Astyanax mexicanus: one gene and its partner. Each later gene encodes a partner of the first gene's protein in a complex. Links are inferred from orthologs where the notes say so. Each region holds a gene or a part of one and is shown on either strand. Other genes may lie near its edges.

Evidence for each region.
Region 2: cdhr2 (region 1) and anks4b share a complex: the UniProt entries of both Homo sapiens proteins name them as parts of the IMAC/intermicrovillar adhesion complex. The link is inferred for Astyanax mexicanus from reciprocal best matches to the Homo sapiens genes CDHR2 and ANKS4B.

Annotation. Positions count from the first base shown.
Region 1 is NC_064426.1:2,353,895-2,370,469, forward strand, and holds the start of cdhr2 (cadherin-related family member 2), read right to left. Parts: upstream 6,421-16,575; 5' UTR 6,243-6,420; coding exon 6,240-6,242; intron 4,371-6,239; coding exon 4,313-4,370; intron 3,306-4,312; coding exon 3,237-3,305; intron 2,440-3,236; coding exon 2,303-2,439; intron 2,206-2,302; coding exon 2,152-2,205; intron 1,333-2,151; coding exon 1,243-1,332; intron 128-1,242; coding exon 38-127; intron 1-37. UniProt on the Homo sapiens protein: Intermicrovillar adhesion molecule that forms, via its extracellular domain, calcium-dependent heterophilic complexes with CDHR5 on adjacent microvilli. Thereby, controls the packing of microvilli at the apical membrane of epithelial cells.
Region 2 is NC_064426.1:32,610,950-32,627,636, forward strand, and holds anks4b (ankyrin repeat and SAM domain-containing protein 4B), read left to right. Parts: upstream 1-9,318; 5' UTR 9,319-9,455; coding exon 9,456-9,616; intron 9,617-13,266; coding exon 13,267-14,392; 3' UTR 14,393-14,843; downstream 14,844-16,687. Other genes in the region: peroxisomal membrane protein PMP34, read right to left, coding at 1,102-1,218, 1,768-1,922, 2,495-2,561, 4,228-4,288, 6,575-6,649. UniProt on the Homo sapiens protein: As part of the intermicrovillar adhesion complex/IMAC plays a role in epithelial brush border differentiation, controlling microvilli organization and length. Plays a role in assembly of the complex.

The DNA of each region.
Region 1 (16,575 bases):
AAGTGTTCAAGGTGGTTGCTGCGGTCTTTCAACTTACATCGTAGATTGCGTAACTGACGATTCCAGCCGTGTTCTGGTCCTCATCCGTGGCATAGACGGTCAGAATTATACTGTTTACAGGCGTGTTCTGCAGAAGAGAAACATATACATGTACATAAGTCCGAACATTTTACCCCACATTTTTTCACCAATATTTTCATATTTTTATGCCATTTGCTCTTTAAACAATAATTGAACAGGAAGCTCCTGGACTGCAGGGTCATCAGCCAGGCAGCACCAATTGTACTGGTTTTGTTAGGGGTAGATTGTGAAGTTTTCTGGCAACCTCAGCCAGCAGTAAGAGAGCAGTATGAGTCCTTCTAAGCCTGTCGGGCCAAGGTATCGCCGAGGCCAAGACTGCAGTGTAATCAACAGAGATTAGCAAGAGAATTACCCAGCCTCACCCTCAAACAGACTCGACGCTACCAGGGGAGCCACTTTAGCACCTCTGAATCCCCAAAGAATCACAAAGTACACAGTAAAAAAAAAAAACAGTGTTAAAAGAACAGTTTTCCTAATAACCCTCAGTGATGAACAATCCACAGAGTTGGTGTTATTATTCAGGGTTAAAATAGTGTCTATTTTTAAAATGTGTCTGTGTAAAAAAAAAAGATAAAAAAAAAGAAAATATCCAAAAATAAATTTAATCAAACTTAAAAAAATAATTAATTACCAATTTTAAGAGTTGTTTTACCCTGTGGGGTAAAATTTGTTAACACTGATGAGAGTTACATAAAGTTAATATATGACTCCATATGGTGTTGAATTAACTCTATAGTGATTATTTTCATGCTATAGTGTAAAACGGAGTGGGATCATATCTTATCTTGGATAGCGTTACATTAAATTCTTTAAGAGTTAATTTATTGTGTGTTATTTTTAGCTTTAACTTAATTCTTTTAGGCTCCTATTTTTTTATTCTACTTTTTTATCTTTTTATTTGACTGCTTCAAATTTTAGACTGTCCACATTTATTCTGAATTATTTTATTTCTTCTTAATTTTACGTTGTATGCAAAGGGGGACTTGCACTGTTATATATAGTTAAATACTGCTATGTATGTTTATATGTTTATATGTTCAGACCAGAATTCTCTAGTTTTTTTTTTTTGCATCATCACCAGAGAAAAAATACACAAAAATATAAACAGAGATATTAATAAATGGATAAACTAAAATGAAAAAGAAAAGAAATAGGACTCACCTCTTTAACTTTAATGTTGTACGGTAGGTTCTGGAACACTGGCGCATTGTCATTTGCATCGTCCACAATAATGGTGATGTCTTTTGTGACCTGAAAAATAAAGCAAGCAGTTTTACACAGTTTTGCTAAGTTTTTAAGACATTGCCTTTGATTCTTTATCAAAGGTGCTTTATCGGTGGTTGCTAGGGTGGCTGCTATGACACCTTAGATAGTTGATAATTATGTGATTTTCTAAAGCGTTTGCCTGGGTATTTTAGCTGTACGCTTAGGTGTTGCCAACTAAGGGGTAGCTAGAATGTGTTTGTCCGTAGGTGGTGGCTATGACACTTCTAAGGGGTTTCTGTGTGATTTGTGAGTGGTTGCTAGGGTATTTTAATCTATTCTCTAATGTGTTGCTTACTAAGGGATTGCTAAAGTGTGCAAACACTTCAGGTAGTTGCTAAAGGGTTTCTATGTGATTTGCTAAAGTGGTTACTAGGATATTTCAGTTGTTCACTAAGGGGTTGCTAAAATGTGTTTGTTTTAGGGTGGTTGCTATGATAGATCAAAAGGGTTTCTATGTGATTTGATAAAGCGGTTGCTGGTGTATTTCAACTGTTCTCTAAGGTGTTGCTAACTAAGGGATTGCTAAAGTGTGCTCAAGGTGCTTTATCCGTGGTTGCCATGACACTTCAGGTAGTTGCTAATGGGTTTCTGTGTGATTTGATAAAGCAGTTGCTGGGGTATTTCAGGCGTTGACTAAGGGTTGCTAAGGTGTGTCTTGGTGGTACTAGGATAGTTTCTAACGAGTTTCTAAAGATTTGCTCAGATGCTTCCTATAGGTATTTCAGGTGGTTGCTAAGGTATTTTAACTAGTTGCAGTGGCGTATGATCTCAAAATCCATTGTGTTTTGCATGAGTTGAACTTACGTCAGAGTAAACTCCGTCATTAACGATCACTTCCACAGTGAAGAACTCTCGAACCTGAGGGGGGAGATAGTCCGGCAGGTTGAGGCATTAAGACTCAGTGCAGCTCAGTGTGTTTAGTGTTCAGAATCTGGGTTCTTTAGTCTGGACGTACCTCTCTGTTCAGCTGATTTTTGATGAAAACTCCGCCGGTGGCAGAATTCACAGTGAAGTAATCGAACCGGTCTCTTATACCGTACGTCAGCACGTCATCATCCGGATCAAACGCTTCAATCTGGAACGCAAATTCACCTGTGGAGCAGAAAGAGCTAAAGTTCAATTAAAACTGTTAAAAAAAGCAAAAATCGAACAACTGTAAACCAGATTACACTGAAAGCTTTACAGTCAATATTCCTGTCCCGTGACTTCTGGCATGTCACTGTATGGATAGATAGATAGATAGATAGATAGATAGATAGATAGATAGATAGATAGATAGATAGATAGATAGATAGATAGATAGATAGATAGATAGATTTGCAATTGCAATGGAGCATGAATAAACTACAAATTATAATTATTAACAATAACTATAAATATATAATATATTCATTATGAATAATACCGTCAACTATAGATAAATATATCTTAATTAATACAAAAATGCAAGAATACATACAAAGAATCAAATACAAATATACATGCATATATCGCTCCCTACCATAAAGAGAAAAAACATAAAAATGATTTTAAAAATGCAATACAATGATTAAAAAAGAACAATGTGCAAGAGATGTAAGTATCATCAGAAAAATGATCAAGCAGCTTAATTATCATTCATTTCTAATTTTTACTGATTTTTTTTAAATCTGATCAGCTGAATTTGGGGCAGAAATTAAATTAAATTAAATTAAATTAAATTAAATTAAATTAAATTAAATCATAAATAAAATGCAAGTCATTATTAGAGACTGAAATAAAAATAAAATAAATAAATAATAAAATAAAATAAAATAAAATAAAATAAAATAAAATAAAAGTGCATGTCATTATTAGGGACTGTGTGATTATTGATCACGTGACTCCAGTGTAATGGGTAAAAACTCTACCTGGGAGTTTATCTTCTCGCACATGCTGCACTACTTTCATGGTGATGGTCGGCACAGTCTGGCAGTAACCTAAAGAATAAACACAGAGTGTTAGAACAGCCGGAACACACGAAGAAATATATAAAATAAAGCTCTCTAGCCACTTTTCTGCTTCTATAAACTGATAATGACTATAATGACTACATTTCCCATAATCCACCCTTCTCTGTGCCTTTTCTGTCATGTGCACATCTTCAGCCAATCAGGGAGAGTTCCCTCAGTCTCAATTACTTGATTTTTAGAATTGTACACACTTACTATCCTCACAAAACCATAGACATCCCAAAACGCCCTAAATCCAACTGCATGAAGCACAATTGACGTCTATAGTATAGATCACTAAAATAGGGAGGGGCCTTGGTCTTTCTTTACCTGATGAGAGCCAGTTTCATCATAATGTTTTTGACGATCTTTGGGGCTATACTTTTAAAAAACATTGACTGAACATTACTGAAATATTCACTATTCACTGTATACCTGTAACTCTACCTCTTCACTACTTTACTTTAACTGATGCTCTCAAACACTTTATTAAGAGACAAGAAATTCAAGTAATTAACTCTTGATGAGTTCAGCACAGCTGTTAACTGAAAGCCTGAATTCCAGGAGACTCTACCTCATAAAAATGACTGAGAAAATCCAGCAGTGATGTTCAAAACTGTCTTATCTAAGCAAGAGGTGCCACTATGAAAAACGTATAATATAAAACACACTTTGTTCTTTACTAAATAATTTCATATTTTTTTTATTCGAATATTGGGTGAATTCATTCACAACAGTTTAAAATACAAAAAGAAATTCTGAATTTAAGGTTTTCAGTTTTTTTAGGGAGCAGTACGATGTTCTTCTATCAGTAATATACAGGTAATAAACACGTTTCTTCCGCATGCCATTTCAGCAGTTATAAATAAGACTGATAATAGAGGCTCTGCATCATCATGAAATTGCTCAGATAATATTCTGGACTTTGGGCGTTTGCTGTGTAACAAACAGTAAATCTCAGCTCATCTGTTTTAACCTGCTTCTCACATACTTACAGGTGATAAAGAAGCCTAAGAGCAGAAGCAGCGAGTTCCTCATTCTCCAACCGTCCGACTGCAGAGAAACAGAATCACGTTAATGTGATGATAAAATTAATCCTATAAACTCATCATCTATAAAAACATTTCTCTCATATTCAGTTATTATTCTGAAATGAAGCAAATTAACTTCAGAATATATATATATATATATATATATATATATATATATATATATATATATATATATATATATATATATATATATATAAACCTCTGGAATATAATCAAGAGGAAGATGGATGATCACAAGCCATCAAACCACCAAACTGAACTGCTTGAATTTTTGCACCAGGAGTAAAGCAGCATAAAGTTATCCAAAAGCAGTGTGTAAGACTGGTGGAGGAGAACATGATGCCAAGATGCATTAAAAAAAAACTGTGATTAAAAAACACCAGGGTTATTCCACCAAATATTGATTTCTGAACTCTTAAAACTTTATGAATATGAACTTTTTTTCTTTTCTGAAAGCTCTGCATCTTTTTTGTTATTTCAGCCATTTCTCATTTTCTGCAAATAATAATAAAATAAATTATCTAAATGACAATATTTTTATTTGGAATTTAGGAGAAATGTTGTCTGTAGTTTATAGAATAAAACAACAATGTTTATTTTACTCAAACATAAACCTATAAATAGCAAAATCAGAGAAACTGATTCAGAAACTAAAGTGCTCTCTTCATTTTTTCCAGAGATTTGATAAAATATGATACACTTACTGTTACATACACACTCTTCTCGTCAGTTAAAAAAAAAAAAAAAAAAAATATATATATATATATATATATATATATATATATATATATATATATACTTCAAGCTATTTTGGAGCATTTGTATTGGTCCATGCGGTTCATAGCATGGGTTTTTGTGCAACAGCCACAATTTACAGAACTATTATATTCACTTCAAACGTATATTAAAGAAACCAACAAATACTCATAATATACAAATCCCTTTCTGTATATGCACATACAAAACTTGTGAATGAACTTGATTAATTCCTTGTAGCTGTTAAAACGCAACTAACAAAAAAAAAAATGCAGTTGAATGTCATTTAGATGTATTTGTTTATTTTGTTTATTTAATTTAATTTTGGAGCATATCAATTGGTCCATTCATCTTGAAAATTGAAAACTAAATAAAAGAAAAGAAAAACTGTCATATTTATATTTGTTTAATTGTAAGTAAGTAAAATCGTTAATTTCTTTGTGTCTACATGACAATATACAGTGTTTTTTATAGTGTAAGTATGTAAGAATTACATAGTAAATTATTGTAGTTAAAAAAAACATGTATCTCAAAAACTAAACTCAAAAACTAAGTAACGTTACAGTTAAGTCAATGTAAAAAAGTTTATTTCAGGTCATTTTGAAGAATTTCTATTGGTCAATCTATTCAAAATAAATAAAAGAGTGTGAAGAGGGACAGTTTGTGTATTTAAATTCTGTAGTAAATTCAAAAGTTATAAAGTTACGAAATATTTGTTTTTTTTTAATTGGACAGTGATGATATGTTTTTTTTATATTGGATAATGGATGTTAATAGTAGAAGGTGTTTAAATGTAATTTTAATTTATATAATATTGGTCCATTCATCATAAAATTTTGAGACAATAATAAAAAACAACAGTCAGATTCACATTATGTCAAAAACATAAGAAGAAAAAAACTAAGATAAAATTTTTGTGATGCATTTGTGATGTTCTCTTATTATTTATTTATTTATAGCAAAAAAAAAACATATTTTTTATATGTAACTTAGTAATGTACTGGTTTTAAATTTAGACTATATAATGTATGTCAGCACAAATGTTTTATATGTCTGTAAAATGCAGAAATATATATATTTTTTTATGTTTTCTAAGAGTATTAAAGGAACTCACCATCTCGGCTGGTGTTCTGGATGCTCCTCTGAAGGGTGTGTGGGTGGACTGAGGCTGTGGAGGCACCTTTGCCTGAGACAGATCTGTTGATTGCCGTCTCGCTGCTGTAAACGTATATCATTAACACGGGAGCAGCACGGGTTAGCTCGTCTGAGCTCCTCACACCCCGCACACACACTCCACACACACACACACACACACACACTTCACACAAAGCAGCTTAACACTGACAGCAGCTCAGCCGGTCAAGAGTGGTCGAAGCAGCTAAACAAATGTCACAGCAAATCATGTTCCACACACACCTACCCAACACAGGGGGTCATTTACCTGTCAAATGCTGCAATCAGATATAATCAGATTATATACCAGACCTAACACAGGTTCATATGAGGCCTAAATTAAAGCTAGACCCATACTGCTCCATAAACCATTTGATTGCACTGTTTATAGGCATGTGTTTGAGCAAAATTAACATTGTTGAGCATTTACAAATAAGGAAAAATATTAAAAAATAAGGAAAATATGTAATGCTTTCAGACCTCAAATAATGCAAATAAAACACTTTCATATTCATAAAGTTTTAAGAGTTCAGAAATCAACATTTGTTGGAATAACCCTGTTCTTAAATCACAGTTTTCATGCATCTTGGCATCATGTTCTCCTCCACCAGTCTTACACACTGCTTTTGGGTGACCTTCAAGTAGTTCAGCCCTGTTTTCATGGCTTGTGACCATCCATCTTCCTACTAATTACATTCCAGAGCTCTACAACAGTCTTATATACTCTAATCCTGACTGTAAGTGTTATATACCAGGCCTAAAACAGTGTTATATACTCTAATCCTAATTTACATGTTATATACTAGGCCTTAAACAGTGCTATACACTCTAATCCTAATTTAAGTGTTATATACTATAATTCTAACTTGATGTTATATACTTGGCCTACAAAAGTGTTATATACTCTAATCCTAACTTAGTGTTATACACTAGGCCTATCACTCTATTATATACTCGAATCCTAACTTAGTGTAACATACTCTTATCCTAACTTAATGTTAAATACTAGCCCTACAACAGTGTTGTTTACTCTAATCCTAATTTAGTGTTATATACTAGGCCTAGAACACTGTTATACACTCTAATCCTAATTTAGTGTTATATACTAGGCCTAGAACACTGTTATACACTCTAATCCTAATTTAGTGTTATATACTAGGCCTAGAACACTGTTATACACTCTAATCCTAATTTAGTGTTATGTGCTGTACTCCTAATCTAATGTTATATACTAGGCCTAAAAGAGTGTTGTGCACTCTAATCCTAACTTAGTGTTATATACTAGGCCTAACACACTAATATACACTCTAATCTTAATTTCTTGTTATTTACTAAGCCTAACGCACTGTTATATACTCTAATCCTGACTGTAAATGTTATATACTAGGCCTACAAAAGTTGTATACTCTAATCCTAATTTAGTGTTATATACTAGGCCTACAACAGTGTTAGATACTATAATTCTAACTCCTACAAAATGTTATATACTAGGCCTAATTCAGTTTTATATATGAGGCCTAACACATGTCCTAGAAGTACTAAACCGCCAAATAATGTCCTATACCTGATCCTGGTCCCACAGAAGCAGTGTGATGCTCCTCTGTCCTGTTTACTGGAGTCCTGTCATATCAGCAGGTCCTTTTCTGGCATCAAGGAGATAAGAGGAAGATTCCTCTTAAACAATATCTTCTCCATTATCTGTCAGCTCCTCATGTTTGTGATGCTCCTGGTCTGACAGAACCCCAACACATGGGTCACGATGTGAGCTCTGGATAAACCCCTCCTTCTCTGGAACTCACACTAATGAGCTTCTCTTCCCGTCCCCTTGTCCCCTTGTCCCCACGTCCCCCCATTAGAGCTTTATAATGAATGAGACATGAATGGGACCAGGGCCATGTTTCATTGCCAACAAAAAAAAACAACAACAATGGTGGGCATTTCTCTAATGACCCCAGGTTTCAGGATAGAATACTGTAGTTCACTGTGTAAGGCTGAGTATAAACTGCATGCCAAAAGTCATAGGACAGTAGAATTTCAGTTGATATAAAAGTGTAAAACAGCAGGTAAAGGCTCAGGATTGCCCACATCTATATAAGATATTGAGTTGAGTGTGCTATTATATTATGAGTGAGGTTGAATAACACTGACCAACATGCTCATGGCAAGGCTTAAACATATTGATGTTCTAGGCCAAGCGGTTTCCATCCAAGAAGGTAGACCCTGTCCCTGTTCTACCAATGCTTGCATGAAGCTGACTGAAATTTGGACATGGACAGAGAAAAACCCCTTTTTAGGAAAGTTTTATAATTAAAAGAGACAAAGATGTTCAGAGTACTAGAAGGTGAGACATTCAACCCTAAAGATACAGTACAAACTGTTAAGCATGGTGGTGGGAGCATCATGCTTTAGGTCTGCTTGTTGCCAGTGGAACTGCTATATCACTCAAAGTAGATGAAATAAAGAAAAAAAAAATTCAGCATAACCTCAAAGCAATATTGGTTTAAACTTGGACACAATTGGGACAATTTGAACACACAAAAAAAGATTTACTACTATTTCAGTACTACTATATCGCAGTAGAAGGAACAGTCTCAGTGTTAATCTAGCTGAGCTGAAGACTCACATGTTGTAAAATATGTATTGAACCACTAGACAAGCTACAAAACATGGGTTATATGCTCATAAACACTGTAAACTACATAATAAAATATATAAAAAATATTTAATAACACAGAGTGAAGCCCTGTTTTTAACACAGTGTTCTATAATAAGCCTATTTAATGTTGTATATGACACTGTGTCAGACAAAGCACTGTATATAACATATAGGCATATAGGCATAGTATATAACACTATGTAAGCCATAGTATATAACAACACATAGTATAACACTATGTTTTTTACATAGGCATAGTATATAACACTATGTAAGCCATAGTATATAACAACACATAGTATAACACTATGTTTTTTACATAGGCATAGTATATAACACTATGTAAGCCATAGTATATAACACACTTATATGCAGGCATAGTTATAACACTATGTTAGTCATAGTATATAACACTGTGTTAAATATAGGCATAGCATATAACACTGTGTTATATAAAGGCATAGTATATGACACTATGTTTTTATAGGCATAGTATATAACACAGTTGTAGGCAAAGTACTGTATATAACACTGTGTTATAAATAGACATAATATATAACACTGTGTTTTATATAGAGGCATAGTATATAACACTATGTTATATATAGACATAATATATAATACTGTGTTTTATATATAGGCGTAGTATTCAACACTTTGTTAGGCAAAGTATATAACAGTGTTATATATAGGCATACTATATAACACTGCTTTAGGCAAAGTACTGTATATAACACTGTGTTATAAATTGGCAAAGTATATAATACAGTGTTATATATAGACATAGAATATAACACTGTTATATATAGACATAATATATAACACTGTGTTTTATATATATAGGCATAGTATTCAACACTGTGTTAGGCAAAGTACTGTATATAACACTGTGTTGTATAGATGCACAGTATATAACACTGGTATATATAGGCATAGTATTTAATACTGTGTTAGGCATAATATATCACACTGTGTTATGTATAGCCATAGTATAGAAGACTGTGTTTTATATATAGGCATAGAATATAACACTTTATTAGGCATAGTATATAACATTATGTTATACTGTAAAAGTTACCATTTACCAATACAAAGTTATAAATCAAATAAAAATAAATGCAATTAACATATCAAATCATAAAATGGGTTTACTGTAAAAACACAAGTGAAACTCAGCTCTGCTGGGAATATTTCATAAGTTTCTAATCTTATCCTCTTAGACTTTGGTTTATTGCAGTCTGCAGAGTTTACTCATCTAGAGGAAATACGGATTATTAAATAACAGTGAAGATGGGCACAGCCTGTCCTGATCTGAGGATCCACATCATTAGCATTAGCTACTTTACTTTTTATTAAATATCTAATATAGTGAATGGAAGTTAAGGAGAGTGTTATTTTCAGTGTGAATCTCTCTGTGTGATCTGATGATTAACTGAGCTGTGCTTTAATAACAGGCTGTAAAACAAACATATCCCCTGAATCTGATAAGCAGCGCTCTGTGTCGAGCTGGGCTGTGTTTATATTTTATGGTTGGTAACAGAGCATCCTCCTCTCTATCGAGCAAAGGTCACTAACTGAGTTCTGAATGTCATTTTATTTTATTATAATGCTATAATACACTGATGTGATAAGACGTGAGTGATGAAGCTCCACGTGTGATCATCAGATCACAAACTGTTGTAATCTGATCTGGTGCCACGTTACATGCAAACATACAGCCTGAGAAACTGAGAAGCATTTTTAATACATTTACAGTACTGGTGTCAATCGATTAAAAACAATAATCACGATTAATCACACATTTTTCTTTTGTTTAAGTTTTAAGTGTAAATGAATGTAAGATTGGCCAAATTAAATGATTATTTATTTATTTATTTAGTTAGTTAGTTAGTTAGTTAGTTAGTTAGTTAGTTAGTTAGTTAGTTAGTTAGTTAGTTATATTATTGTTGTCTATCACCTAAAAATGTCTTCCATTAAAATGTAAAATGCTGATACTTAAATTATGGTATAAACCAGCATCTGTTTTACTTTACTATGTCTTATGGTACTTTTGATGCTTTTTTAAATTAGGGTCCAGCTGTGGCTGTGTGTTTATATACATACATATATATATATATATATATATATATATATATATATATATATATATATATATATATATATATATATATATATATATATATGTGTGTGTGTGTGTGTGTGTGTGTGTGTGTGTGATGGAGAGACAGAGAGCAAGAGACATATTAAACATTAAATCCATATTTTAGCATTAATAATTAGTGTCTTACCTTCTGAACTTGACAATAGAGACACTGTGTTTAAAGTTTGAGTCAAAAAGTTACTCTTCTTATACAATATATTTCTTTCTGTTTATGATTTTTAATATTATGGCTGTACAGGAACACATGCAGAGTTATTTATGAATAAAAAAGTCTAAAAGAATCGAATATAAAAAGAATATATGTTATACTTTAGATTCTTTTAAATAAGTATCACATTTATATTTGAAAACAGATCTGCACACATTTGGTATTTTAATCTGTGTCTTTATGAGGGAATTATATTCTATTCTTCACCTGGAATAGTTTTCTCAGCGTCTTGAAGGAAGGAGTTTCTGGAGGTGCTGAACAATAGTGGGTATTTCTTTTTAATCATGATTATTTAGTGTTTAGGAAGGGCTTATAAAATAAAAAAGTCAATATAAAATAAATTCACTTTACATGCATATGTATATTTAAATGGGTTTTTAAAGGCTATTTTTCACAAATAAATTTGTTTGGTTTGTATTCTATAAAAGTCCAAAGTGGAACAGAGTTAAATCAGGTCTGCAGTGTTTTCCTCTGGCCTACACCCAGACAGTGTAATTTACTGGGCCAGTAGAGGGCGCTATAGAACACATTATTATAATAGACATTATTATAGGATTTTTTATACTGCTCACATTATAATGTGTAATGACTGCACTAACTATTTATTCAAAATATAATAATACATGTGTGATGTTTTATTATACATAGCTATAACCAAAAGCAATACATTAACAAATGAACAGATTTAAACCACAGACTGTTCTAAATTCATTTTAATAATAACACTACCACGTGTTTATCCTCATATAGCCTGCGTTATGCGTTTTAGTGGCAAGTAATTATTATAATTCTTTGATGTTGCTATTTATACGTATATGTTTGAGTAAAATCAACGTTGTTGTTTTATTCTATAAGCTACAGACACAATTTCTCCCAATTACTAATAAAATACTGTCATTTTGAGCATTTATTTGCAGAAAATGAGAAATGGCTAAAATAACAAAAACAAAAAAACGAAGTAGAGCTTTCAGACCTCAAATAATGCAAAGAAAGGTTCATATTCATAAATCCATTCAAATTCATAAAGTTGGCATAATTTTCTCCTCCACCAGTCTTACACACTGCTTTTATGCCACTCCTGAAATTCAAGCAGTTCATCTTGGTTTGATGGCTTGTGATCGTCCCTCTTCCTCTTGATTATATTCCAGAGCTTATCAATTTGGTAAAATCAAAGAAACTCGTCATTTTTAAGTGGTTTCTCATTATCCAGAGCTGAATATCAGGCATTATCTTTTGAATGGTATTATGATCTAATGATCTTGGCCGCCGTGCTGTTTGACACTGGGCTGGAGTATTACAGTAATTACGGTAGAGCGAGTCGTAATGCAGGGCGTCTTTAAAACGCTCCAAATAGGGGTAACTCTAATATATACGTTAATGTGCGATCAAACGGTAACTCAACCTAAACTAACACTTTTAGAGGTGTTTATTAACATAAATTGTTATGTTTAATGTTGTTACCGGGCAAAAATGGCACGTGTGTGGTGTCAGGTCGTGTTTTTGGTGTCTGGTGTTGTGTCCATTTGTGCTACCTTGTCAAAACGTGCTGTCGCAGAGTGTATTTAAAGAGACATTAAAACTAAACCATATATGTTTTTTTCATTAATAACTGAAATGTGTTTCTTTGAAGTAATTAAACATTTCAGTCTTGGTTAAACATGTCTGATTTGTATTATTTAAAAAGCAAAAATACATCCAGCAATCTGTATCACTGCACTAATAAACAATACATTAAATATACAATTTTCATATTCAGTTTATGATTATCTTATTGATGTTTATAATCTTATAAACATGAGCACAAAGAAAAAACTTTCACTAAACGGTACTCTATTGTACTTATAATATAAGATACAGCCCCAGCGTCAAGCTTCTGTAGTTATTTTTCCTATTGTGTATGGGGCTGCTAAGTGGTTGCTAGGTGGTTGTTAAGATTTTGCTATGGTATCTAAAAATTTGTATTTAAAAATAAGGAAATATTTTTCGCTGCCTGCTTTGAGCCGTCCCACCAGCCCAACCAAGGTTCAGTATCATAGTATCATGATATATTGTGTATAATTTATATTATTATATCTTATTTACATCTTTTACATCTTTTTTGTTGTTTTGATGTTGTTTCCGCTGTCAGCACTAACCTCAAGTGGCAGTTCTCGCGAGGTTAGTGACATATGTCAGTAACTGTTATATTTCAGTATTTATGTTATAGTATTATAGTATTTATATTTCAATATTTCAGTTTGGAGAGACACAGGAATGTTTTTATTATTATGAGATAATACAGGAAATGTACGGGAAAATGCTAATACGGGAGGACGGTGGGAAAGAGGATTAAAATACAGTAGTTTCCCGGCCAAAACGGGAGAGTTGACAGGTATGTGATGGTTGCTATGGTGCTGGTAATTGGTTACTACGGTGTTGATTCGCAATGCACAACCACAGTAATGTAACATAATAATAATGTTTTTGCTATATATTTTTTGTTTTAACACATTCTGAAAAAAAAAAACACATGACAAATGTGTGTCAGCGCATGCGCAGAACAGGTGAGAAGCACGTATCGAACCGTTGCACAAACCGGCACGCCACCGGGCTCCACATGTAGCCCCGCCGCCGCAGCAGTGAGTGGTGCAGTCCGCGGACTGTTCCACCGGGCAGGAGGCAGCCGGGGACGTTAATGCCGCACCAAGGGGCCGAGAGACGCGGCGATGGATTACACTGCGAAACGGGGAAATGTCGGAGACTGAAATGCGCGCAAATTAACAATCAGGTAACCGCCTGTCCCGGCTTTATCCATCTCGTTTATCCTCGGACTGGGAGCTCCGGCGGGAGCGGGCGGCGGGTCTGACCGCCCCTCCTTGCCCGTGTTGTTGCTGGGGGAGAGCGGGGGGACGGAGCCCGGCTGATGTCGTGTTTACAGCGGCTGTGAGAGCACCAGGCGCCCGCCTCACATTCACATCAGCCTGGGGTTGCAATAATATAGTTACTTTTTAATAAATAAATTAAAGAAACAAGAAATAACCCCCGAAACCAACAGTCCCCTATGTTAAACTGTTATAAGCGTCTGTCCAGATGTTTTCCCATCACTATTCATGATAATAATAATAATAATAATAATAATAATAATAATAACAGGCTGCTCTGGTGATGCTGATCATCACAGCGCAGTGCGGGAACACGGGCTCCGGTTACCGTAATGCCCCGAGTATCTCCCTGTATCCTTGTACTGAATCTGTCTCAGCATCTCAAACTCTGCATGTTTCTTGAAACTGTGGCAGAATATACTGAATTTAAGGCGCCCTTTCCACTCATAAGACATGTTGGTGTCTGTATAAATGTTTTTTTTTTCCTGCTGTTGATCTGTGTTAAAGCCTTTTATCCCGGGTTTTTAGAGGTAGCGGGTCCCCGGTTGTTGGCTCGGCGGCGTTACCGGCTGCTCGTTTGGCGCAAGGGTTACGTAACAGGCTAGTGCTACCGCTAACCCAACAACAACACAGCTGTGTTCATTCCACCCTGCTGTCTGCACGCGCACACACGCGCGCAGGCACACACACACACACACACACACACTCTTTCACACAGACACACACACACACTCTCACACAGTCTCACACACAGTCTCTCTCTCTCTCTCTCTCTCTCTCACACACACACACACACACACACACAAACCTCAAAAACTATATGTACTATATTGATTTTTTTTATCTATATATCTAGTTTTACAAAATTGTTTTAAAATCAACGTTTTCCAAAAAACAAACAAACAGTGCCTTACTGTTTCTGCTGGCTTGGTGATTAGAGCACTAAATTATTGATCATGGTGTTATGGGTTTAACCCTGTGCATTCTGAGCATTCCTGTTGAGGGTCAGTGGTGACTTAGTAGTTATTAGTAGGTAATTACAGGGTTGTGGTTTCGATACCCAGACCTTTAGATACCCAGAGTCCTTCTCTACTCCAGGAGTGATGATGCACAGCTAACCATGAGTTCTGACTTCTGCTTTTCAAGCTGGGATATGCACAGAAAGCCTTTTCCTTAGAGTGCAGGGTTACTGATCACATGTTTTTTGGTTTGACACCCAGGACTGTTAAGCTTTTTACTGAGTTAAACCTGAAAGCTTCATAATGCCAATATATTTCCATAACTTTATAATTTATAAAACTATTGCACAGTACTGTAATTATTCAGCAGTCAGTTTCCAGCACAGTTCTAACACACACTTTTAAACACACGAGGTGGTAGAATACAGTACCTTTTCTAGCTAATTACAGTGTTTACCAGCAAACATTGGAGGGTTTGTTCGGTGCTCGGGGCTGCAGGATGTTATGACTGTTGAAACATTACAGACAGGCCGTGTGAAACTCAGAGCCTCCTTAGAACATTTGCTCAGTGGTGTTTATAAGCGGGAGAGCTTGTTTCAGATGCACCAGCCAGGCCTGCAGCCAAGTGGAAAGTGATAATTACACCCTTTTGGAAATTATCATATCACAGGACCCAGTGATGCAACAATAATTAACATGCAAAATTGTTTTATTTTTTTATTCATCTGTGGGGATTCACTTCGGCCCTCTGTATTGTGTCTTCAGTAATATTGTAAGGTATAAAAGATTAAAGTTTAAATATTATTAATTTAGTTTAAATTCATGCTGTATGGACATTTAGCTGATGACATGAGATATAGGCTAATGCAAATGACTTGTGTTTTTATTGGCAACTTTATAGTGTGGCTCATACCAAATAAAACCATAGGTTTGTTCAATATTATTGTTTTAGTCTGGATTATTATGGAATAATAATTTTCAGGTATTTGTTTGATTTTACTACTAGCAGCTAATGCCTACTTTTGCAAAAACACCCAGCAACACCTTAGCAGCCCACTCATATTTCATAGCAACACCTTAGCAACCAAAACTATACCATGGCAACACCTATCAACAGTAAGCTATACTGTTGCCAACATCTTAGCAACCAACTTTTATACCACAGCAACAATTTGGAACCAAATCCTATACTTTCACAATACCTAAGCAACCAACAACTATACCATAGCAACACCTTTGCAACCAAAAGCTACACTGTCGCAACACCTTAGCAACCAACTTCTTTACCATAGCAACAACTTTGCAACCAAAAGCTATACTGTCGCAACACCTTAGCAACCAACAACTATGCCTTAGCAACCAATGCCTATACCATAACTTTTCACAAATAAACTTGGCATTATTGGCTTACTGCCCTTGTTGTAGTATATGC
Region 2 (16,687 bases), about 30 Mb from region 1:
TAAAAAAAAACTCTAAATTGATCTATTTTGTCCAAATATGGGTTGTGTAAAGCTCTCTATAATGCTGTCAACAGTAGCTATCGAGCTATTTGCATTTATTCAGAACAAAGTCCCAATCCCATTTCTCATTTGTACCCCTGCACCTTTTGAATGTTTTTGAATGTTACTCTTTCGCTTGGAATGGGAAATTACTACTAACACTCTATGCTCTTTATGAAGTAAAGTTCTATGATACTTAGAAACTACATTTAGACTAAATTTTAAATTTCACTCCTTGGCTCTACCACTTAAGCCCTATCCGGACGGGATTAGTTTTTCTTTTATTTTCTCTTTTATGGGGGTCCTCTGTGATCTTATTCCCAACTGGATTGATACTGTATGTGTTTTTCTCAGATGTTCTCAGATTACAGGCTGAATTACCTACTGTTTTTCTCTGAATTCCGTGGTCATTCAGTAATTTTATTAGCTATCTAAATTTTACATTCCACCATGTTACAGCAGACAGCAGAGGCAACATCACTTAAGGAAATGGAATGGAAAAATGAAAGGAAATTAAAGATAATAAACTAATTGTAGCTCCCAATCACAGTGGAATTAAGCAATGGACAGTAATAATTAATTGCTGCCCTAAAATGCCCTAAAAAGTCCAGAAGCAAGGTTCTTGAAGGTTGTGCCTATTCTCAAGAGAAGGATTTCACCCTTTTCTCTGGTAACTTTGTTCAAAGGGGAAGAGTTAGGCTCAAAAACAAGGGGTAGGGGTATGAAAAAGAAATGGGATCAGGCCTTTATACAGAAATAATGATAACGCAATGATAACTGAAATTTTGGGTGTTCTTTGATCACTTGTGCAGCCGTCTTGCCACTGATTTATAACTGAAAACATCTGAAAAAAAAACTCAGTTTGGTGGCCGTGTAGCCTTAACTCTTCACCCTACCCCTCTTATATATATATATATATATATATATATATATATATAGAGTTAAAAAAAACTCAGTTTTTTTTTTCTTGCAGACACAGCACAGAAAGTAATTCTACTGACTGTCTATACCTCAGTGGAGGCGTGAATATGTAAGGTGTTCTTCAGTGCTCTTCGGACTGACCAAAAATGCCCTTGTAGTGGGTCTGGTGAAGCTCCTCGTTCCGGAATTTGGCTCCCTGAAGCTTCAGCCTAGTGTTCACCACCCACATCGGCGTCGTCAGGAGCACGTTTACAGCCCCTTGAGCAGCAGACACAACAACACTGAGTTACAGAGGTTAAATGCATTATGTTTCAGCTTTCTTGGTTTATTTGTGAGCTTTCATTATGCAGCAAACAACTAAGCTGTTAAGACATTCTGGTAGATTCCAAACTGTGTTTATTAAGTTTTTTTCATATGGCAGGAATCGTTAGCTGCGTCCCAAAGCCTACAGCTGAGGTTGGATGCAAAATGAAAAATCCTTTATATGTATAGCTGTGAAATGCTGTCGAGAATGCAGAAATGCTGTTTGGAGCAATCTGAAGGACGCGGCTGATGTATCCTTCATGTCTATCAGTTACCCACAATTAGCAGAACAGTAAAATAGCACCATGGAGCATCCAGAACAGAGTTTGTTTTATAATGTTTGTTAAGATGTTGAGGTTTGAGCCACATTAAACTTTTCAACTTTCAAAAAATTTCAAGTATGTGACCAACAGGCTACTGAGAAGGAGATTTAAAGGACAGACAGTTCTACCGAGAAGACTTTGAAACGCAGCTATAGAGAATATTCTGTATGCCGTTTCCCACCTGAGATGAAGCCCATGACGAGGTCCTTTCCAGGTCTGGACTGCCGTTTGTCGTGGATCATCACTTTCTTCAGGAAGTTGAAAGTGTAGAAGTAGACAAAGTTAGAACAGCAGAGGCTGGAGATGACCGGAAACCAGCCTCGATACAGAGACATTCTGCAAAGTCAAAGAGGAACCAGTAAAACAGTGAGAATTAGTGATCTTGATTACTTGAGTGTGCATGTAGTTCTTTTATTATGTAATTGTGGGATTTCCTAGGGAGTCTATACAAATCACACAATGCCACAAAACCTCAGCACTTTATTACAGGATTGTAACTCCTCTATCAGTGCATGATACAGGGGTTACACTTTAATATATCACATTATACTGTGATAATGTAAACAAGAGATGTATTGCAAAGGTTTATATCCAATTTTATGAAAAGACACCATCGTATTTTAATATTTTGTGAAATCAAAACAACACCACTATCTATAGGCGGGTTTTAAACACAACACTTAATGAACCAAAGTTTGCCATAATTAAAAATCAATACTGTGTTTTTGAGAATTAAGATTTTAGTATTGCAAAACTAAATATTACAATATTTCAATATATCAACATTTTCTTACATGACTAGAACTGATATTTCCAACGTCTGTACTCGAGGTGTAAGATTATAATTATAATATTTAGGTCAATGTATTGTATTATTGAGCTATGATACAGTAATACAGAGTACTTACATCCCCTCTTCCTTTGCTATCTCAGAGAGAATGACAGGAGTGGATTTGGACTTCCGGTTCTCGTCCACTGAATCACAGCAGCAAACAGCGAATAAACAAAACTCAATTAATACTCAATAATATTAAGTTCATTTAGATATTCTAGGTCCAGAAAATACAATAATAAACACAGGGTTCACTGAAAAGCCCAGTTTATTCAACTTCACCCTTTTACCTAATTGTAGAAGATTGGGCAACACATGTTTGGTGTCCAAAGTCTGCTTATATTGTCTTCTACTAAAGTTAGGAGGCTAACATAATAAAATGATAAAGTTCTAACTTCTACTCAGACGGGATTAGTTTTATACAGGGAGGTGAGGTAATATAGCTATTAACAGAGGATCTCTGATTCAGTCCCGCTACTGTGCACTCTTATATCAATCAGTAAAATGCTTTTATCTATTATAGCGCAAGCCACGAAAATAAGCCCATGAAGTTTCAATAATAGAAATGTTTACTTTTTATCCAATCAAAAAATTTGAATTTTTATGACATAGTATAACACCGATATCTAGTGGATGGGGTTTAAACAGAACACTAAATGAACCACTGTCTGACACCAATCTTTACAAGGAAACTAACAAATAATATTTAAGTTTTCATAAACCGATACAGCATTGCAAAACTAAATATTATGTACTGAAGTTTTGCAGACGTATCTTTTTAAGCCCGTTTACATGCACTCCATAATCTGATTACTGCAGAACATCAGAGTAATCAGTAATCAACACATTTACATGAATTTGTGTATTCAGATAATGGGACAACTCAGACTTTACATAAGTATTTTTTCTTTTTGCAGTTTTTGCTTTGCAACCAGCCAATAAACTCAAAGAATAAGACGTAACGTAAACATCAGCTGGGTAGCCTGAATAAATTCGGCTGGCTATACTGCTAACCAGAGCTGATTAGCGCTGCTGACCAGGGCTAGCTATGTTGTTAACTGTGGCTAGCGCTAACCCTGGAATACTGGAGTTCTAAGCTTACTGTAAATAAACGGAAGCCCTTTATTCACCCAAATTAAGAATTTTCAGAAATCTGTGTAGATTAACATCCAGTGCTCGTTTGACTTTTTTTTTTTTGAATTACAGTTTTGTTTACTTTACTTTTACTCCCATTAGAAGGGAAACATGGGGACACTCTTGCTCACTTCAATGTAGGCTTCTTACTAGTGTCCTTTAATGTGCCTTATAATCCAGGGCACCTTATGTATAAAAATAGACCAGAAAATAGACGTTCATTAATAATGCACCTTATAGTCTAAAAAATACGGTAATCAGATCACTGCAGTAATAAGTAGCCACCTTAGTATCCACAAATAAATAAAGGCTCTATGGAGGACCGCCATACTCGTTTTGAGGGACTGCCGAAGAAGCAGTAACAACTGTAATTTTGAACAGATTTTTGAGTGCATGTAAACGCACTCAGTGATGAGTAACTAGAGTTGCCACTCCTGCCTCTATAATTTATAAAGGGATTTCTTATCCCACTTGAGTCAGTCATTATAGATAAAATCCACCTGCCAAGTCAATAGGTTACATACCCTCACAGAAACTCTGTGTCAATTCAATTATGTAAATGTATTTTTCAGTGAACAATTCCTTTAAACAACAGTAAAGATGAACTCACAATCCTCAGGAGCAAAGTCCCAGTTTTGTTAAACCCGCTAATCAGTAAACAGTGCATCAACTCACCCTGAAGCCTGATCCTGGCTGTGTCCAGCGGAAAGAACACAGTCATTGCGGTCACGCTGCCCTGTGAACAGCAGAATAGTTGATCACTAAGTGGTCAATAAGGAAAATGAATTCTAGGATCTCAGATTAAGTTTTATTTATTTAAGAAGTACATGATCCTTGACTCATTAAGAATTATTTAATAAAAATAAAGGTGAAGTTTGCAACAACAAGGTTATACCTTAGTACTCTATGTATGGTGTCCTAAAATGAATGAATGTATGAATATTACAGACTCTGTGAGCATTCATGTAAAAGTAAGAAACATAAATCTACACAAACAAACATATAGAGCAGTGAAGATGATCTATGTAATCTCATACTCTATGTCCAAATGTCTGAAGACACATCACACAATCTTTTTAACTGCCATTAATATAATGTATGTAATTTGTTTGCTATGCTATTATTTTAACAAAACATAAAAAAAAACATAAATTATATTTATGGCAGTTAAAATCTTTGTTCTACAATTATATAATAGGGAGTTTCATGAGAAAAGGGAACCTTTATACCCCTGTAACCCCTGCATTACATTCTATCAGCAGGGCATTATACACTCATTAGGCAATATATTTGGTATGCCTGTACATCTAATCATTCATGCTAATCTTTAATTAGCCAGTCATGTGGCAACAGTACAATGCATAAAACCTGGACATACACTGAATATTTGGCAACCGAAAATATTAGTCCAAAAATGGCAAAAACACTAATTGACTCATGTTTCAGTGTTTTATCTAACAAAGAATATTTTATGAAGTACACTCTACTTTTAGACTTTTTAATTGCTTTAGACTATTTAATAAACTGCTGGTTTGAAGCCTGATCATGTAGTTTGCTATCAGCTGCCGGAGCCCCGAGAGAGCACAATTGGCCTCGCTCTCTCTGGGTGGGTAGATGGCACTCGGAACCAAGTCACTGCGCTTTCCTCCGAGAGTGCTGTGATGCTACTTAGTAATGCTGCATTATCAGTAGCAGTTGGAAAAGAGGCGGGGGCTGACTTCACATGTATCAGAGGAGGCATGTGCTAGTCTTCACCCTCCTTGTATTGTGGCATCACTAGTGATGGGGGATATACAGCTGAGTAACAGCTAAAGAGCAGCTGAATGGGTGGGAAAATTAGCCTAAATAAATTAGGAGAAAATGGGCTACAACAGCAAACGATCACACTGGGTTCCTGCTCTGTCAGTCAAGAACAGGAAGCTGAGGCTGCAGTGCACACAAGCTCACCAAAACTGGACAGTCATTGCAGGTCAACAAGCTTAGTTGTGCTGGTCATGCTGTTCAATCAGCTTGGTCATGCTGGTCAATAAGCTTAGTTGTAGAGGTCATGCTGTTTGACAAGTATGATCAAGCTTGGGTATAATGATTGAGTATGCCTGTAGAAAAGCTAGACCATCAAACGGAAATTGAAAAACATAGATACACTATACTGGTTTAGAGCTGAGCTGGTCAACAAGCATGATTGGTTATACTAGTTGTTTACCTTGGTAAGGTTCGTGATCACGCTTGTAGGTCATCTGAACCATAAAACCCAAATAAAAAAAGACATAGATACAACCCTATACTGGTTAAGAGCTAAGCTGATCAACCAGCTTAACCAGCTTGATCAGCTTGAGCTGGGCAGGTTTTTTTTTTTGTCAGCAATGTGTGCACTGTAAAGTAGATTCATTTGCTTAAAAAACAAGGTTTGAGGATTCTTTAAAACATATATTGTATAAGTTGAAGAGTGGCGTGGTGCTAGTGATAACCTGATCAAACTTACAGTTAAACTTCAATTACTTGATAGTACTACAGTGAGGAAAATAAGTATAACACCCTGTGACTTCTTCGTCTTGCAAGTTCTCCCACATAGAAATCATGGAGGAGTCTGAAATATTTATCTTAGGTGCATGTCCACTGGTCCACTGTGAGAGACATAATAATTTTTTTTTTTTTAATCTGGAAATCACAATGTATGATTTTTTTAATCATTTATTTGTAGATACTCACTGTATCTACACTGCCTGGCCAAAAAAAACTTTTAAGAGTTCAGAAATCTTAGCATGCATCTCGGCATGTTCTCCTCCACCAGTCTTGCACACTGCTTTTGGATAACTTTATGCCTTCACTCCTGGTGCAAAAATTCAAGCATTTCAGCTTGATTTGATGGCTTGTTATCATCCATCTTCCTCTTTATTATATTCCAGAGGTTTTTAATTAGGTCAAATTAAAGAAACGTATTCTTTTTAAGTGCTAACGTTATCTTATTTTATTCCAGAGCTGTGTATAACTTATTAGTTAGGATAAAGCTGTGAGGTCTTACCATGGCTCCGGCCACAGCGTGCACCAGAGTTTCATAAGACAGAAGCGCCTCCGCCGCTCCGCCGCTCCCCGACATTCCCGCTCAGCGTCTCTCAGCAGCGCTCAGGAACCGGGAAAATACAGGCTATAAAGAGCTCAGACTGGTTCAACCAAATCCCAGCAGATTCAGATAAATACAGCCTGGATTTCACAGGATTTCCACCACTGACAACACAAACACAACCCCGGCTCTGCAGATTCACCGATTCACTGTGTGTGACTACACTGCGGAGTATCTGATACAGAGGAGATCACCCACTTCATAATGTGTTCAGGATTCGTTTGACCACTAGAGGGCGCTACCGAGAGAGTCCAAAACAAATGGGTTCCTATGGAGCAATTAAACAAAATCAGACTTTATTAATATTTAGTAACTTTCATACCGACCAAATATTATCATTTTGTCAAAACAGGACAATATTATCACATGTTTCAGTGCTAAAAGAAAAAACATGTATTTTAAAGCTTTTAATCTCTAGTTATAAACGTTTTAAATTCATAGCTCTAAGTTTTTTTATTATTATTATTAATTTCCACAAAACATCATAATACAAACAAGGACATCCAAGATCATTAAAACATACAACCGCAGTGATCCAGCGGAGTAAGCGCTGCCACTGTGATCGGGAGGTCGCTGGTTCGAATCCTGTTTATGTAGCTTGCCATCAGCTACCAGAGCCCTGAGACAGCACAATTGGCCTTGCTCTCTCTGGGTGGGTAGATGGCACTCTCCCTTCATCACTCCAAATGGTGATGTGGATCAGCACAAGGCATCTGTGAGCTGGTGTATCGAGTCGCTGCACTTTCCTCGGAGCACGCTGAGATGCTACTCAGCAATGCTGCATCAGCAGCAGTTCAAAAAGAAGCAGTTCACATGTATCGGAGGAAGCATGTGCTAGTCTTCACTCTCCTGGTGTTGGGGCATCACTAGTGATAGGGGAGGGGAGGGGAGTCCTAATGAGTGGGTTGGGTAATTGGCCTTGTAAATTGGGGAGAAAATAGGATTTTTTTTTAATAAATTCATATAAAAAAAAAACATACAACCGAAAAGGTAAAAGCTAAACAAAACATTTATGCTGACAACACATCTCACCCATAAACCAGCAAATTTAACTCCTTTGTGTGCTTTATAGTGGACACAAGAGCTCTGACTATTAACTTCATCATAAGCTGACCAAGCTTTTTATAAACTGGCCTTATAAACTGCCTAAACCCAGTTTACTGAAGAATAACATAAATATATAAGTATATTTTTTAACAAAATGCATCATTATACTTTCTAAAATGAAATTGTAAAAGAAGTAGAAATACTTAGTTACTGTACTTAAGTACTAAAATGCTGTATATGGAGTATTTTGTTTCTCATACTTCCTCTTTTACTTTTTAAAATTTCATTACTCATTACAATTATAAAAATGTTAGGAATCGTTACAAACCAACATTTCCACTAAAGCCAGAGCTGTAGATGCTCTGCACTGTCATCGCATTTGTTGAAGTGAATAACTACTATTTATTACTATAGATTTTAGCCTTTTAGCTCCCTTTACCCTCATTTATTTTGGACTCACGCGTTCTGCCTTTACGGGTTCGCAGCAATTCTCTGATATAATATAAATTATGGTAGGGAGTGAGAAGGCTCTTAATAAAGCAGCTGTGGCAGAGTATCTGGAGTATTTCCGCGTGTTTAAGAGGAATGCCAATCTGAATGAGCCGAGATCTCCCCCTGCTGGATCGGTGTTTTATACAGCTCTGGAAAAAATTAAGAGACCACTTCAGTTTCTCTGATTTTACTATTTATAGGTATATGTTTGAGTAAAATGAACATTGTTGTTTTATTCTATAAACTATGGACAACATTTCTCCCAAATTCTAAATAAAAATATTGTCATTTAGAGAATTCATTTGCAGAAAATGAGAAATGGCTGAAATAACAAAAAACATGCAGAGCTTTCAGACCTCAAATAATGCAAAAAAAAAAAGTTCATATTCATAAAGACAGTTTTCATGCATCTTGGCATGTTCTCCTCCACCAGTCTTAAACATTGCTTTTGGATAGCTTTATGCCACTCCTGGTGCATAAAAAATCAAGCAGTTCAGCTTGATTTGATGGCTTGTGATCATCCATCTTTCTCGTGACAGTCCTCTATTTCTATTTCTATGTACATCATTATTTGTAAGTCGCTTTGGATGAAAGCGTCCACTAAATGTAATGTAATGTAATTTAATGTAAGAAGCACATGCTGCACAGTGCATTGATGGTGTAGGATTGATACTGGGCTTTTACCTCCTTTATAGTACTCATCATCATATTGCATATTTGCACTCCTTCAGCTGGACTATTTCAGTTGAACTCCCTTGAACTGTTTGTATATATTGTTTCTAAATCGAACCTTGCAGTTACCTTGCACATGAATGTATTATTTATTTGTTTTCCTTATATCATATTCTTAGGAGAGCACACTGAACCTTGTTGTATTTGTGCAATGACAATAAAAGTATTCGTATTCGTGTAATAATGAAACTGAAATATCGGTTAACATAGTATAAGAAAATGATTCGGAACAGAGGACAAAATAAGCAACGATTATCTGTATGACCTGTTTCCTCTCAGCAATCGAGCATCACAATCTCTTCACAAACCCAAACCCACAGCAGATGCTGGACTTTGCTTTAGTTTTATGGCTCTGACTGGGTGGTAATGACGCACCGACTGGAAAATTCAGCCACACTAATTTCTGAGCTGAGAGAGAACAGGAATTGAAGGATCTAACCATGTTTTTCTGAAGCTGTCTGCTCAATTATAGTTCTCTATTTTGTTCAGAGCGAGCTTTGTTTGTCTAACCATGTCTAGGTATCATAAATCAGCCATCGATGGCTATTTGGATCTTTTAAAGGAGGCCACCAAAAAAGATCTGAACACTCGGGACGAAGATGGCATGACACCAACCCTGTGGGCGGCTTACCATGGACGACTGGAGGCTCTTCAGCTTATCTGCAGCAGAGGGTAAGCTTTATTTTATACACTTTTATAAAAAAAAGACATTTATAATGTTTTTGGAATAATGGCAACGATAAAAAAAAAAAAAAGCCGGCACTTTTAAGATGTAAAAAACATACTTTTCTTACCAATATACAAATATTCTTACTGATAAACTACTGAGAAGTATTTAATTTCGGCGAAGTGTTTGTTTTAAGCGACGTAATTTTTCTTTGCGTCCCAGGTTACACTACTCTGCCGTTCATATCTGTGCAATGTAAAGCGCAGCGATTTACAGATATAAATAGAAAATAGTCGACGCGAATCTGTGGAAAGTTAATTTGTGTGAACTGTAATATTTTTTTACAAACGCAAAAAATAAGTAAATTATATTTCCCCAGCTATTTTGTTTTATTAATTTTTTTTATGTAAACTAAAATTGTCAATAACGTAACAATTTTTGTTACATATGGAAGCCCATTCCCGCCACCTAAAAAAAAAAAAAAATCCAGCAAAATGTTTTTTTATTATTATTAAGTAAACTGCTATCTCAATATTTTGAGATACTAAGTCAATATTTTGAGATACTATCTCAATATTTTGAGATACTATCTCAATATTTTGAGATACTAAGTCAATATTTTGAGATACTAAGTCAATATTTTGAGATACTAAGTCAATATTTTGAGATACTATCTCAATATTTTGAGATACTAAGTCAATATTTTGAGATACTATCTCAATATTTTGAGATACTAAGTCAATATTTTGAGATACTAAGTCAATATTTTGAGATACTATCTCAATATTTTGAGATACTAAGTCAATATTTTGATATACTATCTCAATATTTTGAGATACTAAGTCAATATTTTGAGATACTATCTCAATATTTTGAGATACTAAGTCAATATTTTGAGATACTAAGTCAATATTTTGAGATACTATCTCAATATTTTGAGATACTAAGTCAATATTTTGAGATACTATCTCAATATTTTGAGATACTAAGTCAATATTTTGAGATACTAAGTCAATATTTTGAGATACTATCTCAATATTTTGAGATACTAAGTCAATATTTTGAGATACTAAGTCAATATTTTGAGATACTAAGTCAATATTTTGAGATACTAAGTCAATATTTTGAGATACTAGTAGGCTGTACAGAGACAGAAGCAGGTGAGACAAAGATGCAAAATGGATACCATCATTGAGGACTACTTCAGACGTGGATTCACAAATCATGAAATATTGGAACTTTTAGAGGAATCACACAATATCAAAATAAGCCTCCGGATCTTGGACGAGGCTGAAGTTAGCTTCTTATTCGCCAGTGTCTTATTCAGATTTCCTTTCCACCTTAAATGCTGGCTGAACATTCATGCGGCCGCCTGTAGATGGCGCATTTTAACAGTAAAAAACAGCATGTAAGCAAAGTGCTGTGCAAACGCTCTGAATAAAGGGGAGAACACAATGCGAGGGACAGAGTTTAACTCTGAGTGAAATATAATGTAAATAAAATTAAATATGAATTAAAACGTTATTGCTCTCACTTTTGGCCTAATTCCCAGGTCATTATCTACAGGTGGCCGCATGTATATTCAGCCAGCATTTAAGGTATCTCAAAATATTGACTTAGTATCTCAAAATATTGACTTAGTATCTCAAAATATTGAGATAGTATCTCAAAATATTGACTTAGTATCTCAAAATATTGACTTAGTATCTCAAAATATTGAGATAGTATCTCAAAATATTGACTTAGTATCTCAAAATATTGACTTAGTATCTCAAAATATTGAGATAGTATCTCAAAATATTGACTTAGTATCTCAAAATATTGAGATAGTATCTCAAAATATTGAGATAGCAATTTACTTAATAATAATAAAAAAAAATTGCTGGAGTATTTTTATTTTTTAGGTGGCGGGAATGGGCTTCCATAGTTACAATGTGGGGTGCTCTAAAACAAAAAATGTGAACAGTGGAAACTGAGCATTTAATGAGAAATTAACCGACTCCTACCTGTTTATTCTTCTCACACATATGCAGTTTTATGTGTGTTCCATTTAAAGCACAATTTTTTTTTCCAACAGCATATTGTTTTATTTGGAATTTATATCATTTGGAAATGAGGATTTCACTGGATCCTATTTTATTTAAATTAATTTAACATTTGAAATACTTTTTATTTTTAATGTCTTTATCTTTATATAAATTTGCAAACTTGCAACTTGAATCACATCTTGTTGAGTACAGCCAAACCACTGCTGTTCTTTTTTACCACTTTACATATCAGGCTACTTTACAGAGAGCAAAGGTAGCCTACATGTAATTACTCCTTATCCCTTTTAAAAGAATGTAAACTCAGTGCGCTTGCGGTCTATAAACCTTACAGACAGTAATATGTTGTGGGTGTCTTGGTCAATTACCAAATAAACATTATTTTACTACCAAAAATGCAGCAAGTGTCAGTGATGGCCATTGTTCTCTTTTCAGTCTTGGTATTCCCATTAGGGATGCCAAGCGTTTAATGAGGCAAGTGAATTATGTAAATGTAAAACAATAGCGCTTTTCATCCTCCTGTAGCTTGTCCAATATTAAGACTTCCACTAAGCAAGGAAAATATGTTACACATTCTTTGATGCATTCATATTTTGATATCATACAGCATGTATATATTAAATTTATTTATTTCAGAACCATTCCTAATACCTAATTTAAACTCAGAAAAAAGCATTTGTGGTATTAGGACAATCAACTGTTGTTGGGAACTAAGAGAAGATATTTCGCACCAAGATAAGATGTTGCAGATATTGTAGACAGAATCTACACGCAGACCTTTGCCCTTAATGGTTACAGATTAACCCGCGATACTCAGTGTTATTATATTATGTTAGCTACAATAAAGTAGATAGTAAATATGTTTAAAAGCTACAATAAAACGGAGCAGACGGCAGAGCAATGGAATAAATGTTGCTGTTTTAACAAAACATTGTACCTCCAAAATAGTTCATTTAAAAATGTTTAACGTTAAAATAGTTCACAAAAAAGAACTCATTTGACAAAGACATGTTTTGTGCCGAAGTCTTTTTTGTTACTTTTTGGACTGTAGGTTACAAGTAATGGTGGTATTTTAATGTCGCGTTTTGAATAACAGTAATAATACAGGATGCCTTCTTTTTGGAAACTTAACTTTTAACTAAATATTTGTTCACCTCCCTATATAAAATGAAAGTATGATTTATCCATTCAGTTTAAATATCTTATATTTAATCCTTTATGTAATGTCAGGATATGCATACATGTTTTCCAATAATTCACCTGGAATTTCCGGAATGCTTTGCCAGTTTATTCCACAAGGAAAAATATGTCAAACTAAGTTCCATCTGGGCAAAAGCTCTGTAAAGTTTTGTAGTGGTTCATTAACTCTCTTCAAAAGTTTTAAAAGTTGAACTTGAAGAACGGAAAAGTTGTTTTATTGCGTTCGATCCTCCTTGGAATGTTAAAAGAAAAATATCAGATCAAGATAATAATATTAATATTAATTTTGGAATCTTAAACATCTTAAATGAGAAGGTTATTGTTAGATCTTTTCAGGTAAATAAAATTTACCATGGTAGCCTATTTAAGACTGTAGCCCTTAATGATCATCTTTTTTGTTGTTGTTTCAGTGGAGATCCCAACCTGAGTGACATCTGGGGGAACACACCGCTACACCACGCGGCCGCCAATGGACATATGCACGTCCTGAGCTTCTTGGTCAACTTCGGAGCCAATCTCTTCGCTCTGGACAATGACTTTCACACTCCTATGGACGTTGCCGCATCTCGGGACCAGATGAATTGCGTTCGTTTTCTGGACAGCGCCGCCTCCAACCAGACCAGCCAGAATGCCAAACGGGTGGCTCAGCTGAAGAAGCAGGCTGTGAAAGATGCAGAAGTCAGGGTGAAACAGTGCGAGAAGGTCAAGAAGAGGCACCAGAGTAAGATGGACAAGATGTACCGCGGCGGTGGTTCTGTGTCTGGCGTGTCCGAAGCGAGCGCCGCCACCATGACCAGCGGCAACGAGCAGTTCTCCAAGCTTATTGCTGCAGATAAAACTGGGTCCATCTCCTCGACGATCAAAGGAACTTTGCAGCGCAAATTTGGGAAGAAGGACAAGGGAACTGTGAGCAAACAAGGAGACAGCAACGTCATATTCGTAAAGCAGGAGAATGGGAACGCGGAGAAGCCGGATTTTGTGGACGTCTTTAACGAAAATGAAGAAAATGAAGAGGATGAGGACGGAATGGGAGGTTTTAACGATGATGAAGAAGATGAAGAAGGTGCCGGTCAAGCAAAAGAGTCCATTTTCAAAAGGCCTGGCCTTGGGAACATGGTTTTCCGAAGGAATTTCTCCATGGAAATGGGCATGGAACCAGATGAATTTCCAAGCGGCGACACTGAGGACCTCGGCTTCCTCATCCGCAAGGAGGTGTTTGATGCAGAAGAAGATGGACTGGAGGATTATTCAAAGGAGGATTCTCAGCTGCCCTGGAACGAAGAAGAGATCGGATTGGACGAGGATGAAGAGGAGACTTCGCCCCTGGACGCGTTCCTCAGCTCCATAAACCTGCTGGACTTTGCGCCCGTGTTCGTCCGTGAGAAGTTAGACCTGGAAGCACTAATGCTCTGCTCAGACGACGACCTCAAAAGCATCCGAATCCAGTTAGGACCTCGCAAAAAAGTTCTGGATGCAGCAGCTAGAAGGAAAGCAGTAATGGAGCAGCCTGGGGTCATGAAGGACACCTTTCTGTAACGCCAGGATATACAAATAAACGAACATTTACACAATAATTAATCCGAAACCCTCTGAATTATTTAATTATCGGTTCTTCATAGCATATGGGTGTCAAACTTGGTACCATCTGGACCAAAGCTCCACAGAATGTAGTATTAACTTCTCCTAATTTAACAGATCTCAATCAGCTCATCATCTACTTTATTTTCATAAAGACATAAAAAAAAAAAAACCTGCAAGCTCCCTGAAGCTATACTCAGAACTTCATAAAAAGTCAAAAGCTATTTCTAACATCAACATTGTAACGTTTTTTTGCAACATTGTCAAAAAATAAAGAGAGAGCCACAGCTTTCCTAGCAGTCTTTATGGAATGAACCTGGTTTGAGACCCTTGCTGTACACTGTGTGCTATATTGATTTAATGTCCTGTAATGTTTTTGATTTTGACAAATAAACACGATATAAAGTTTTGGGACAGCTTCTTCATTGATTATTCTAAAATTAAGGGTATTAACAAAGAATTTGCCCTGGTTTTGAAAGAATATCTGTCCAGGGAAGGCATTGTACAAAACTACGCACGAAATACATAAAATAAACAGACCAGTAGAAATGCTCCAACAATCATTCCTTTTTAAAGATACGATTTCTTGTTTAAAATATTAACAACATTTAAGACTTAAGATCTAATTATTTACAATTATCTTTACAGCTACTCATTTTTGGGTTTAATGTCTATAAATAATAGCTGAAATAAGTCTTGAGAGTCTTGTACAGCATCACACAGATGGTTTGAAAATGCATAATAATGCAGTGCCTAAAGCATGCAGCAGAATGCCCAAAAGCGCACAAAATACATAAAAGTGCAAAGAATGCGTAAACGGTAACAATATTACGCACTGAATGGGTACAAGCGCACTGAATGCATAAAAGCGCACATAATGCGTAATTACGCACCGATTGCGTAAAAGCGCACAGAATGCGCACTGTAAAAAATGTCCATAGAATTTACGGTGAAAAACTGTCAAACCATGACAGTAAAAGACTGTAAACGCTAAAAAGGCTAAATACTGTTTCGGTAACAACAAAATACCGTAAATTCATATATCATCCAATACACTAATTTTTACACATTTTCTCTGTAAAAAATACATTATTTCAACGTAAAATTCTCTTGCACTGTGTTTATAACAGAAATTTTCCGTATTTTTGGATAACTGGTAAAACCGTAATTTCTACATTATTTTTTTGTGAATAATACATTTTTTCTTTGTTAAATATACAAGCCATTATTACATTTCCGTATTATTTAGATAACAGCCAAAACCGTAATTTCTACATTATTTTTTTGTGAATAATACATTTTTTCTTTGTTAAATATACAAGCCATTATTACATTTCCGTATTATTTAGATAACAGCCAAAACCGTAATTTCTACATTATTTTTTTGTGAATAATACATTTTTTCTTTGTTAAATATACAAGCCATTATTACATTTCCGTATTATTTAGATAACAGCCAAAACCGTAATTTCTACATTCATTTTTTGTGATTAATATTTTTTTTTACTGTTAAATACACAAGCCATTAATAAATGTCCATATTATTTGGATAGCGGCAAAAACTGTAATTTCTACATTTATTTGTCATGAATAATATTCTTTTCACCATTGAATACTGTAAAAAATGTCCGTGAAAATTACAGTGAAAAACTGTGAAATGGCAACAGAAATAAACCGTAAAGCAAGAACTAGCTTATTGTTGTAGAATAAACATTGAATTACCATAAATTAAAAAACTGACATGGCAATGGTAATAGATTGTAATATTAAAAACAGCATATTACTGTATAATCACTGAGAAAAAAATGTAAAATTTACGGTAAAATACTGGCAGCTGTGGTTGCCAGAATTTCACCGTAAAATAAACGGTTGCCAAGAATTGTACTGTAATATCTTCTACATGGCAACCGTTTATTTTACAGTAAAATTCTGGCAACCACAGCTGCCAGTATTTCACCGTAAAATAAACAGTTGCAAATGTATAAGATATTACAGTTTAATTCTTGTCAACAGTAAATTTCACATTCATAAACCGTTTTGTTTACAGTATATTCTTGTGAAAAAAAGTATATTACATTGAAGGAGAAGGATATTATTAGGGCATTGTATATAATGAGTTTGTTTGCTCCTGGATTTTATTGATATCCGCAGGGTCTGAATGGGATGTAACGCAGCTGTCTATGGGGCGTGGTTATGTTAATTAGATGTTTAGTTTAGAGAAGTCACCATGATGTAGTTTCATAGCGGTTTTAT